Linked DNA regions of Schizosaccharomyces pombe. The protein of the gene in region 2 purifies or fractionates together with the protein of the main gene of each other region. This does not show direct contact. Each region holds a gene or a part of one and is shown on either strand. Other genes may lie near its edges. The genes, in order: apc14, apc13 and apc5.

Region 1 (3,186 bases), on a different chromosome or scaffold from region 2:
GACATTGAAGTATTGCTGAGAGTGTATGCGTATTCTATGTTTTCCATGTTTCTATCATTTATCTCTGGTTAAATATCTAGACCGCTAAAAAAATCCCTTTCTTTCTCATACGTTGAAATGTTTGATAATCAACCTACGATAGCTTTGCTGAGGTGGCTTCATAAATGTATGTATAAAACGACTTCAGAGTTGTTTCACTGGTATATAATTAAATATTACATCAAAAATTTCCTTAATTTATTACGAGTACCCAGTTAAATAAACGTGTATTTTATTAACTTCTAAAAAGATGTGAAATTTGAAATAAATGTGATATTATGAAAAATAAGGAATCATTCCTCAACATGATTTTCAAAGTTTTTCAGTAAGCTCCGGGACGATTTCAAATAAGTCACCTACAATTCCCACATCTGCTGTTTGAAAGATAGGAGCATTTTCATCGCGATTTATAGCAGCAATGACTTTGCTATCTTTGATTCCGGCAAGATGCTGAATAGCACCATCAATTCCAACAGCAATATAAAGCTTTGGGGCGATGATTTTTCCAGTTTGACCTATTTGTAAAGAATTATCAGCATAGCCAGAATCCACGGCAACACGTGTAGCACCAATTGCTGCACCCAATTTGTCAGCCAAAGGTGTAAGGATGCGTTCAAATGTCTCTTTGTCTTTCAAAGGTCGACCACCAGCAACAACTCTTTCGGCAGAAGACAAATCAGGCCTAGCATTCTTTATAATATTCTCACTAACCCATTCTTGTAGAGCAGCTGGTTTTGGATCAATACCTTCAACAACAGTGGCTGCTCCTTCACCACTTGAAGGAGCGGCGTCAAATGCAGATGCACGAACGGTGACGATTTTAATAGGATCCTTTGTAGACACAGTAACGTTTACGTTTCCCGCGTATGTCGGACGAACGAATGTGTCAGCAGAAACCACACCAATAATGTCACTAATCTGCATCACATCAAACATAGCAGCCAAACGAGGCATCACCCCTTTACCAACAGTTGAATGAGCAGAAAAAACATGACTAATTTCATTTTTCTTAACATTTTCAAAAAGAACATTGGCTATTTGATCGGGAATGTTATGCTCATATGACGGATTCTCAACGTAGATAACCTTTTTCAAATCGTTCACCGATTTTGCTACCTTTTGAGAAATTTGAGAAGAATCCTTACCGATTACAAATCCAAAAACATCCCCACCGGTACGCTTTGCTGCTTCTACTGCTGACAAGGATGCTGGAGACAAGTTCCCTCCCTGATGCTCAAGCAACGTCAAAACACTAAACCAATGCCTTCTTCCACAATTTATTTTAAAGTTAGAAGAAGACAAAGCCCTAGAAAATGTCCGGCTAGTAGTCCTTAGCATGTTAGAATACTTCGTTGTAGGTTTGAGGGTGAATGAGGATGTACGCTGACAATATGTATGTTCACATATTATACTAAGAAAAAACTTAAGTAATACAGTCTTACATTTCAAAGGTAAAATAACTAAAAATAAGTAATCGTGATATATTTAAGTGATTTATCTACCAGAAATGATTTTTCGTGAGTATGAAAACATCCTAATTTTCATATACCTTACATTTATTTTTTTTGATAACCAACTGCCAATATTTTGACAAATTCTTTCAATACAAAGTTTAAAGTCTATAGCGATTGCAATAACTAGGTGCATCATTAAAAATAATAATAATGAAAATTCTTTTCAAATAAAAAAAAATATGAGAAACTCAATGTATCCTTCTTAGCATTACAGTTATTGAATCGTTCATCAACGTTAAAGTTCACTAAGATATTAGGAGACAAAAGGTGACTTCACTATTTTATTTTAATAACACACTCCACATTCTTATACCACAAGCATTGCTTTCTAACGATGGCAAGGAGTTTTGTTCAACTACGCACACAAGATAGTAAATAAACAAGAAAATCGGTGAAATTTCCTAATCACTTGTCCAAACCTCTTCACTTACTGCTTAAATACAAAAGAGATTACAATTTTCATATTTAAACGGTTCTCTTTTAAAGAAGAACAAATCAATGATTGAAGTCATTGTCTCTTAGTACTCACGGGGGTTTTTTTTACTTTTGTATATTAAAACGTTTCGAGGTCATATGGATCCGTTTGCTGGTACTGGTCAGTCCAAAAGTTATCGAACTTTTGGAAACGTCTTTCAAAGACTCTCCATGTCTGGCAACCCAAAACCTCTCGCCAAGAAACCACTTCTACTCCCTGAAGCTTCAAAAGCCATTGAATTTTGGAATTATCGAGATGTTATAGGTGGTGAAGAGGCCGAGCAAGAAAGAAATGAAAGGGCAAGTAGAATTGCAATATCCAGAATTGCTTCCAGCAGAAGTTCTATTCCAGAATACAGGCAAGCTATTATGCAGCATCTGACAAAACATGTTCAACAACTTGACCAGTTGGCTGAATGGTGATTAATGAGTTTATGATATAAATTCTTATCCTTTCAAACACCACATCACTAAACACTAAATTAATTCAAAATATTAAGAATAATTTCTGGCAATCTGTGTCTCAAGATAGTTTTCCGCTACTACCCTCTTGGTTGCAGCTTTCAGTTATCCTTTGCAAGTGTATCAATAAATTCTGCCAGCTTTAAATCTTTTTCTGTAAGTCCCTTTGTATCGTGAGTTGTCAACGTAATATCCACTTTATTGTATACATTAGTCCATTCGGGATGATGATTTAGCTGTTGTGCACGCAATGCGACACAGCTCATAAATCCCCAAGCTTCAATGAAGTTTTTAAAACGAAAGCTTTTAAATAGTTTTGTATCTCCTTGTTGAAGAATCCAGTTGTTTTTTGATTTCGAGACTAACGCCAGTAATCTAGCTGATGTGTTCATTTTTTCAACCTTCTAAACCAACGTTTATTCCAGAAAAAATGTTTTTCTTCAAAATTTAGGTAAAATATCAATGTGATGTGTGTAGAACGTAACTGTTTTAATACACTCAATTTACCTCCTTTTACTTTGGTATGTGAAAGAGAACGAAATCATATCGTCTTGTCTTATTCACAACATCAAAAGAGTAAATTTAGCTACTACGCTAAAAGAACCTCTTCTACAGAGGAGCATTAGAATTATATTTGTTAATTGTATAAACAGTTTCCTAGTTTTATTTCCAAAATAAATAAAATATGCTTGGTTTG
Region 2 (2,838 bases):
AAAGTCCGTATTGAATTCGGGTGGAGCATTGCTTGGTGGAGCAATAGGTTTTCGAGCAGCCTTCTTAGCTAATAATCAGTTAATAAAATTGAGCAACAAAAAATTAAACAAAGGAGTAGAGATTCGGTCTTAAAAAAAGTTTCACAACAACCTTCTTATTGTTGCTCGACTAGATGAACGAAAATTTTTTTTCATACCCATTTTCTCAAGTTTTTTTTGGCGTTGTTTCTCTATGTATTCAGGCGTTACGAACGAAGGAGGGCCTTTAGCTGAGCCTTTTTTCTTAACGGGTATCGAATCTGCCATCTTGTTCTTTTTCTGATCAAAGAATGATATAGCAAGTTTGGATAATCTATAATCAGTGTGGAATCGATCGATAAAAAACTTCAAAGTCAATGTACACGTTTTAGGACAAGTGTACATACAATGACTTTTGAGTAGACTTTATTTAAGTTTTCACAGCCGAAATGGATTAACGACTGTTGGTTCGTACAACCTCAGGTATATCATCTAAAATACCGCATACTAGCGTGCTCTCCTTGATGCCTTCTGTTCGCTTCAAGAAAAGGAGCCATTGGAGCTTCTTTGACTGATTTGAAAGGATCTGTTTCAAAATTATCTTCAATTGTATTTTTACCCTCGGCATTTGAAGAGCCTTGAATGAATGCAAAGGCATTAACTAAATCTTCGAGTTCCAAATCTTTCCAAGCCGGTTCATGCCTAAGCTGTTTGTTTTTCATTAAGATTAGATTTGCACTAGAATGTTGAATAGTCATCTCATCTTCTGTAACAGGTGGTAAGTGTTCTACTCGCACTTCGACATCGTCAACTGGAAGTCTATCTTTTAGCCAATCCGAGGCAAACAAAACTACTCCCGGTTTATTCATATGAACATAATTGTAATTCGAATCCATTAATTGTTTTACTGATTCCAAGTAGGAGACTTATGGTGCTTTTATACGGTTGGTGTTATTGGAGAAGTCGGTGGTAAGTGTGTAAACAAAGCATTTAGCAGCAAAGTCTACTAGTTGGGGGGAGGGAGATCTTTCCATGAAAATCAATTATAAGAATTCTAGATTAATTTCTTATTCACATAATTCTATGAACTTTTAAGTAGAAATAAAAATCAGTTAGGTGGTTTGCTACTATTCTTCTCAAAACCTTCGTCTCTTAATCTATTTATTCCTATTGGCATGTTATTTTTCTTGATAAATAAGGTAAATATATGTGCTTGCTTAGCTTACAAATTTCAAAGAATGACACTAATAGTGCAATGTTTTACTTAAGCTATGATTGTGTCCAAAACCCTAGCAATACTGACAGAGTTATAATGAAAAATTAAGCGTATATTTCACAATCATATAATCATATTCCCCCTTTTCTGAAAAAATGTCAATGGCAAATCATATACTGTTTTGAGTTAAAGAGGCTTTGGCAGATCATAAATCAGCCATCCTAATTAGTAAAAAGAATACAAAATTGTGATGGTTATGTTAAAAGTATTCCTAGTCATTAGTGCATCACCTTAGAGTCATGTGCTGTATATATATATGTGTCTACCTTTGCATAAACAAACTTGTATTCCACAGTCAAACTAGTACAATACACATCGTTCTGCGAAAACGTTCTGTTTATTTTTCAGCAAAAAATTAAAGTTTAAGCTATCATTCATTGCCAATCGCATATCAATTCCAAGATTTATTCATTGTTTATTTACATTTGGAAGCTAAACAATAACTTTCACGGAAGCAACAACACAACCAACAACCAACCCTTCAGAAGTAACTTTCGGAATAATTTTGTATTCAAACCTATATCGTTTATCATTCCTTTGGATTTCTTTTAATCTTTCTTTCGAACACGAAAAACTTACTCTTCACTAAGCTTCGAAATTTCCAATCAAACGATTTAACAATAAGAAAATTTTGTGCTTAAAATCACCAAAATGGATTCTCATGTTTTAGCATTTCCAATTCCTGATCCATCTACACCTCCTCCCGAAGAGGCATCCCTTTATGCTAGTAAATGTGACTATTATGAAAGCGATATTTACTCTCAAATTAGGAGATTAACCGAAGAAAAGTGCATTGAGACAGAAAAAGAGTTGCCAGTTAATATAAAACTACATGTCAAACATAAAGGAATGAGCATATCATCTTCCCGCAATGAACTAGTGGTTACTGTTTCAGGAAATTATAAAAATGTGTACACTGCAAAAATAAAGATTTTGCAAGCCATTCCCAAAATTCTAATCAGCAAACTTGTGCTCGAAGAACCCCTCGAAAACCTCCTTTTTGATGAAGATGGGTACGTTTATGAAGACACTATGAAACATTTGGACAAAATAACGGAAATAACGGGAGCAAAAATTTATATCATGCATCGTTCCATGTGTCATGATATCGATTTTCAGCTACGTACTGACAGCGGATTCAGCAATCGATTAAATGAACAACAAAGCTTCTACCAAAGGCATTTAGAGTCTACTAGGCATGAATTTTCATGTCAAAAGAACGCAGAGAATTCTTTTTTTATTGTCTTTTATGGTGACTATTGCAGCGTTGAACATGCTAGAATTCGCGTATTAGCATTAATGGATGAAATCAGAGGATTATCGGTAGTAGCTATTGCAACTTCTGTATCTTTTCAGCCAATTCTCGTTGGAAAAGCATTTTCTAGTACTGCCGGAATGAAGGCTACTGAATCAATTAATATTTATACATTACCGTTTTGCAGCGACTCAATCCCTCGGCTTCAAACCTTACCCGCCTTAAACTCAAGTAAAATAATTATTACAGGAGAAGAGGAAAAATTGCAAAGACTCGAAGAGGCGTTTTA
Region 3 (5,518 bases), on a different chromosome or scaffold from region 2:
ATGATACTGAAAATAACAAGAAATTGCATTAACTTCTAAAATAAAATTTGACTAGGAACCCTTCTTTTATATATACATGAATTCGCTAAGTCCTCGGATCCCTCAATCCGGTAATACGCTGCCAAATTGAAAGAGTTCAAATCGCTTTTTATATCCGGCTACGAAGGGGGATCTATTAACCAGCATATTGACAAATTCCCGACAGCGATAATGATTTTGAAGGGGAACGGATAGCTGCATTCATGGTTTCAGGAAACGTGCAGAACTTTTTCTCTACGGAAAAAGAAGTTTGGTTTCAAAATTTTACAAGTAAGCGAGTGCTTACGATTTACTTGTGTAATAGAAAAATATTAATGAATGTTGTTAAAACTGACTTTTATTATTGATATCCCCACGTGGATGTCCACATTTCAAGTTGAAAGTGCTTTTCATGAGCGAGGCTTCCTGTCGAAGATTTAACTGTTTAACCCAAGCGTTGTGTAGAGGGGTAAGATGAATTAGTAGAAAAACTTTAGCTAATATTTTAATAAATTTAAAAAATGAATAGAATTAAGCGTAGCTTAGACATCATTTGAACTTGCACGCTTGTATGATTATCCTTTTTCCTTCGATCGTTCGCTTACTTGATCAAAATGCCTAGCATTTAATTTACAATAGGGACTTTAGTGCATTTAGAGTATACGTTAGAGATTAACCATACTTCGATTGTGTATTTCTTTGATTTCCAATTTTGAATTTAACTTACCTTACTTATAGACAAATATAACCCAATTAACATTTCTTATTCACAAACTTCGAGAGCTAGTTTTATTGCATTCGTTTAGGTAATACAAAACGAAAGTCTACTACAACTGAAATGGTGCTTTCTTTTTCTTCCCAAAATTTATTTATTTACCTTTCTGTCATTAAATGTTGGTCAGCAAATCAATTTGATAATTGTCAAAATGTTAAAAGGGCTTTGTGTATATTAAAAAAAAAAAAAAAAAAAAAAAGAATAAAAGCAATATTTCATCATTTCAATCAATTACTCTATTACTATCAGCTATGACACCCGAATTCTATGCCTACTTATGCATATTTTTAAAAAACCATATAAATAAAAATATGCACTTTTAAAAGGTAAAGGTTAATCGATTTTATTGGATTTATTTAAATAGCATTATTTTAAGCATTGATGATATTTTTAAAATGCATCATAATGAATATCTTTTGAAATTAATGCTTCACAGTTCACAATTAATACCCAAACAAAACATGAGTTTATAGAGACGTGAGTGATTTTTAAATAAAACTTTTCATATGATTATTACTCAATTTAACCCAATAGTAAATAAATTTTTTGTGTGTGCCTGCGAAAAAAAAAAAAAAAAAGAACTATAGAAACAATAAAGATGACAAGGAGAAAATAAAGAATAAAGAAAATCTCTTATAAAATTTGATATCTCAAGCTTTTTATTATTATTTTTGTCCGTTTGTTTATTTTTGTTTACGAACATTTATGAAGACCACTTTCAATCGTGGATAAAGCTGTAAAAATGATGCTTAAATAAAATAAAAATATTGATGATTATGATTATTAACTATATTGAGGTAGTTTATATATCATTCACAATTTCGGTAAGTTCATATGTTTATGCGTATTGTTGACAAATATCACTGAAGAACATAGGAGCAACACAAATTGAAAGAAATAAATATCCGAGAAAATATATCATTCTTGAAAAAATATTAAATTTTTACGTTTACTTCTAGAGATTTAAATGCTTGAATAGTTAGCATATCTTGTAAACATAAGACTACTTACCATAATACTCAACCATCGCACTTCTGAACGTATACATGCCATTTACATATTACTGTTCCAGCCTTCTTCGATAAAGAGGTTTTATTTGGTACATAGAACATTCGAACTGTTTGTGATTGAGAAAATTTGGTGCATTGCTATAAATTATAGGATTGAGAGACGATCGTGTACTGCTTACCTATTTAACCATGCAGAGTCCCGCGATGTCAATGGTAACACCAATATTTCCCATACCTTTAAAAACAAATTCTTCAAAAAAAAATTTTTATACTACCTTTTTGACACCACATAAATTGACGCTATGTTTGCTTATTGAACTTTATGCCCATCGCATCATTCAACCTCAACATTGTGTGCCCTTCCTAGATTTGGTATTGGGATATTTTAATGTAAGAACAACTGACTGAAACAAGATTCTCTTAATCTCGAGTACTAACTGTATATCTCTAGCCCAATGACTCACAACCACAAACACTGACTCGAATTCACGACATAACAAGTCACCTTCCCAGTTCAATTGAAGAATATAGCGTTTACAGTTTATTGCATGAACGTGTATGAAAGAATCATATCAAAAATTGTATTCTAACAACTTTGTTTTAGCTATGGTCCTTGCATTCTTTTGAAGATATTCATGAAATATTCATTTCTCTTGGAAACTACATAGAAGGTGTTTACGATTCTGAAGAAGAGGCCCCCCATATGCTTTTTTCATCGTCTTCACTTTTATCTATTTTCCTTCGAAAGTGTGTTGTGGAATACGAGCAGTTTTCATTCGAACAAGGGGTTCAATTCTTTAAATCATTTCTTCAATACAGAGCTCCCTCAATGGATTTTCAACATGAGGGGATTGAATTCTGTAAGATTAATGTTCGTCATGAGTTAATGAATTTGGCTAGCAATAAGACTCTACTACAGTTGGCATTTGGAAGTATACCAGGTTTGTTTAGTTAATTTGAAATTAATTTTTCCTAACTTTTCTAGTTTCTCGTTCTAGTCGGGATATTGAACAACTCACTCAAGTTCAAATTGAACACATGCAAAGTAGGTTTCATTGGAAAATTTTTAACAATTATATTAACAGCTTTTTAATGCATATTATCTAAGCACTTATTAACTGATTTACGCAGAATTTGGATGTGCTCTTCCATTGGAAATGAAAGAAAAATTGCATGATTTATTAGAAGTTGAAGAAAACAATCTAAATACTAGCTATTATTGCAAGTAAGATACCAAGCACATCTTTCCTGCTAGCAATTAACTAACATACTAAGATTCTTAAATTCCTGGTTTAGTGGTGATTATCAGCAATCCGTGGAAAATCTTTGCAGATATTTTGATCACATTATGCATTCTGATGAAAAGGTTTCTTATCAGTACGCTCTCCTCAATCTTGCCATGCTTCAAGCCGATTTTGGCTGTAATGAAGAAGCTCTTCATGCGATTGAAGATACGATTAATACTGCTCGTGAAAGCGGCGATACTGCTTGTCTTAATTTTGCATTGGCCTGGATGTTTGAGTTTAAGCGGTCACAATACTCGAATCCTTCTCCAGAAAAAAATGAAAACGATGATCAAATACTAGAACATCTTGCGCGTAATAGTCAAAAAGCTCAACTGCCTATATTACAGACGACAGTTCATCTCTTACAGGTCCAAAAATTTTTAGATGATGGATCTAGTTTAATTGGCGTTTTCTCTAATTTGACTAAGGCATTTGCTTTGTTTTGTGCTAATGAATCATTCGATGGTTTCCCTCGGTATATGGACTTGCTACAAAGCATTTGGTATCGTTTAGGATGCTCTATCCTTTCCATGACTTATATTTCGATCTATCAAAAAAATCACGTCCATGATTCTCCTGCACTCGACCTATTACAAAGTCTTATAACTAAGGCATGGAGGTACGCTGAATTAGGAAGATGGTTAGATGTTGCTACAATTTTGTCGACTGCTGAGGTTCAATCACAGCGTTCTTTTCAATGCGCACATTTATATGGCAGAGAAAAAACATTTATCTACTTATCTAAGGCGATTGACGAGTAAGAAATCATTGTTTACAAAAATCAGAAAATTTGCTAATTTTGAAAAGGAAAAATCATATGGATGCTACCCTGTATTTGAAAAATTTAAATGGCTTTAGACACGACAAGATGTCTACTTTTCGAACTCAACTCTACGCTTTAAGGTTGGATATTAGTTTGGGAAATTTAAGTCAGGTAATTAACAAAACATTCGTACCTACATATACTAAACGTGTTACTAGGCCATTGAAGGAATTGATAAATTATTGGAAGAACCGGAAAAACTGGCGATTGAATGGGTGCTGCAGTTGATGTTTTTAAAGGTTGACATTTATATGGTAAGGTGAAGGCTGATTTTAGGCTTATGCTAATGTGAGTGTTTAGAGGACTGAAATGTCAAATCGAGCTGTTTTTGAATTGCTGGAAATAATTCAAATGGCCTCATCAAACTATTTAAGATTGTATCTTCTGAGAGGATTATGCACTTTGTGCTTGATTGGGGAACTGGATTGTTTTACAGCTATCGATCTATTAGATTCACTAATCCCTGACATAATTGCAGCGGATAACAAACCATTACTTGCATTAGCATTTCATGCATTTGCTTCTTTGCAGATTAAACATCTTGACCTTTTGCAGCCTTCACGAATGTTTGTCATTCAGTTGCTTGATAGTGCTATTGATGGTAAGTTGATCAAGATTTTCGAGTTCAATCTCTAATGATTAAATAGGTTATCGGGCCTGTTACATGGTAGAGATGCAAAAAACTGTTGTCCGCCTGAAAATTCAATATTTACGACAAATTAATGATCCTGCACTCCAGCCCAACATTGAGCAATATTGTTCTCGATTCTATTCCGACAATTTGCTAAACTAACACTCGTTTAAATACGATTATACCTTCATACTTTTAACGACAAATCAGCTAATAAATATAATTAAGCAACGGATACTCATGATTAACTAAGATGTACATATATATATTTTATACTAAACGAGGATACGAGCACAATAAATATACTACTTTGTTAAGTCGATGTACAAATGCATTTACAAAAATACAACAATTAAAACTACGAATAATGTCTGATTATTTGATAAACTCCAAAGGAACAGCATTCTTTTTTAAAACTAGATAGTAGTATCATAGGCGACGGGGTGGAGAGTGACGGGCTCGTTATTCTCAGTAGAAACGAAATGAGCCGTAGCAGGAGGAGCAGGTTGACGACGAAGTTGAACAGTCTTACCCTGAGCCTTGGCCTCCTTACGCTTAGCCTCATTGGCCTTAACACGGTCCAAGAAGTCTTGACGGCACTTAGAGTGCTTAACGTGCTCAATACGAACATTGACACGCTTCTCCATGTAGCGGTTACCAACAACCTTGTAGATCAAGACACCAACAGAAGATTGAGTAACGTTGTAAACAACACCAGTCTTGCCATGGTAGTACTTGTGAGGCATACCCTTTTGGACAGCACCATTAACCTTAATGTCGACAATGTCACCAACCTTATAGGTCTTCAAATAAGTGGACAAACGAATTTGACCATGCTCTCTGAAACCACGTTGAAAGGTGTAACGGGTGCGAGCTCTGATACCGTAAGAATGAGGCATTGCTGTTCCTGGTTAAAGGCAAAGTACGCACGGAAATTCCATATGGTTTGTGGTGAAACTTTGTGACTGTTTTTAG

The links.
Region 1: the proteins of apc13 (region 2) and apc14 purify together in Schizosaccharomyces pombe (affinity purification with mass spectrometry, with the first as the bait; one study listed by BioGRID). This does not show direct contact.
Region 3: the proteins of apc13 (region 2) and apc5 purify together in Schizosaccharomyces pombe (affinity purification with mass spectrometry, with the first as the bait; one study listed by BioGRID). This does not show direct contact.

Annotation. Positions count from the first base shown.
Region 1 is NC_003424.3:4,517,237-4,520,422, reverse strand, and holds apc14 (anaphase-promoting complex subunit Apc14), read left to right. Parts: upstream 1-1,915; 5' UTR 1,916-2,126; coding exon 2,127-2,450; 3' UTR 2,451-2,590; downstream 2,591-3,186. Other genes in the region: etf1 (electron transfer flavoprotein alpha subunit), read right to left, coding at 352-1,377; omt2 (4-alpha-hydroxytetrahydrobiopterin dehydratase), read right to left, coding at 2,591-2,881. UniProt on the Schizosaccharomyces pombe protein: Component of the anaphase promoting complex/cyclosome (APC/C), a cell cycle-regulated E3 ubiquitin-protein ligase complex that controls progression through mitosis and the G1 phase of the cell cycle.
Region 2 is NC_003423.3:1,834,382-1,837,219, forward strand, and holds apc13 (anaphase-promoting complex TPR lobe accessory factor Apc13), read right to left. Parts: upstream 975-2,838; 5' UTR 915-974; coding exon 507-914; downstream 1-506. Other genes in the region: SPOM_SPBC9B6.11C (CCR4/nocturin family endoribonuclease), read right to left, coding at 1-68, 198-423; SPOM_SPBC28E12.02 (BICC1 family RNA-binding protein), read left to right, coding at 1,946-2,838. UniProt on the Schizosaccharomyces pombe protein: Component of the anaphase promoting complex/cyclosome (APC/C), a cell cycle-regulated E3 ubiquitin-protein ligase complex that controls progression through mitosis and the G1 phase of the cell cycle.
Region 3 is NC_003424.3:3,400,466-3,405,983, reverse strand, and holds apc5 (anaphase-promoting complex platform subcomplex scaffold TPR subunit Apc5), read left to right. Parts: upstream 1-1,841; 5' UTR 1,842-1,992; coding exon 1,993-2,193; exon of another isoform or gene 2,194-2,254; coding exon 2,255-2,359; exon of another isoform or gene 2,360-2,407; coding exon 2,408-2,744; intron 2,745-2,788; coding exon 2,789-2,848; intron 2,849-2,934; coding exon 2,935-3,028; intron 3,029-3,072; exon of another isoform or gene 3,073-3,078; coding exon 3,079-3,846; intron 3,847-3,896; coding exon 3,897-4,023; intron 4,024-4,057; exon of another isoform or gene 4,058-4,070; coding exon 4,071-4,166; exon of another isoform or gene 4,167-4,212; coding exon 4,213-4,513; exon of another isoform or gene 4,514-4,559; coding exon 4,560-4,705; 3' UTR 4,706-4,893; downstream 4,894-5,518. Other genes in the region: rpl2102 (60S ribosomal protein eL21), read right to left, coding at 4,960-5,442.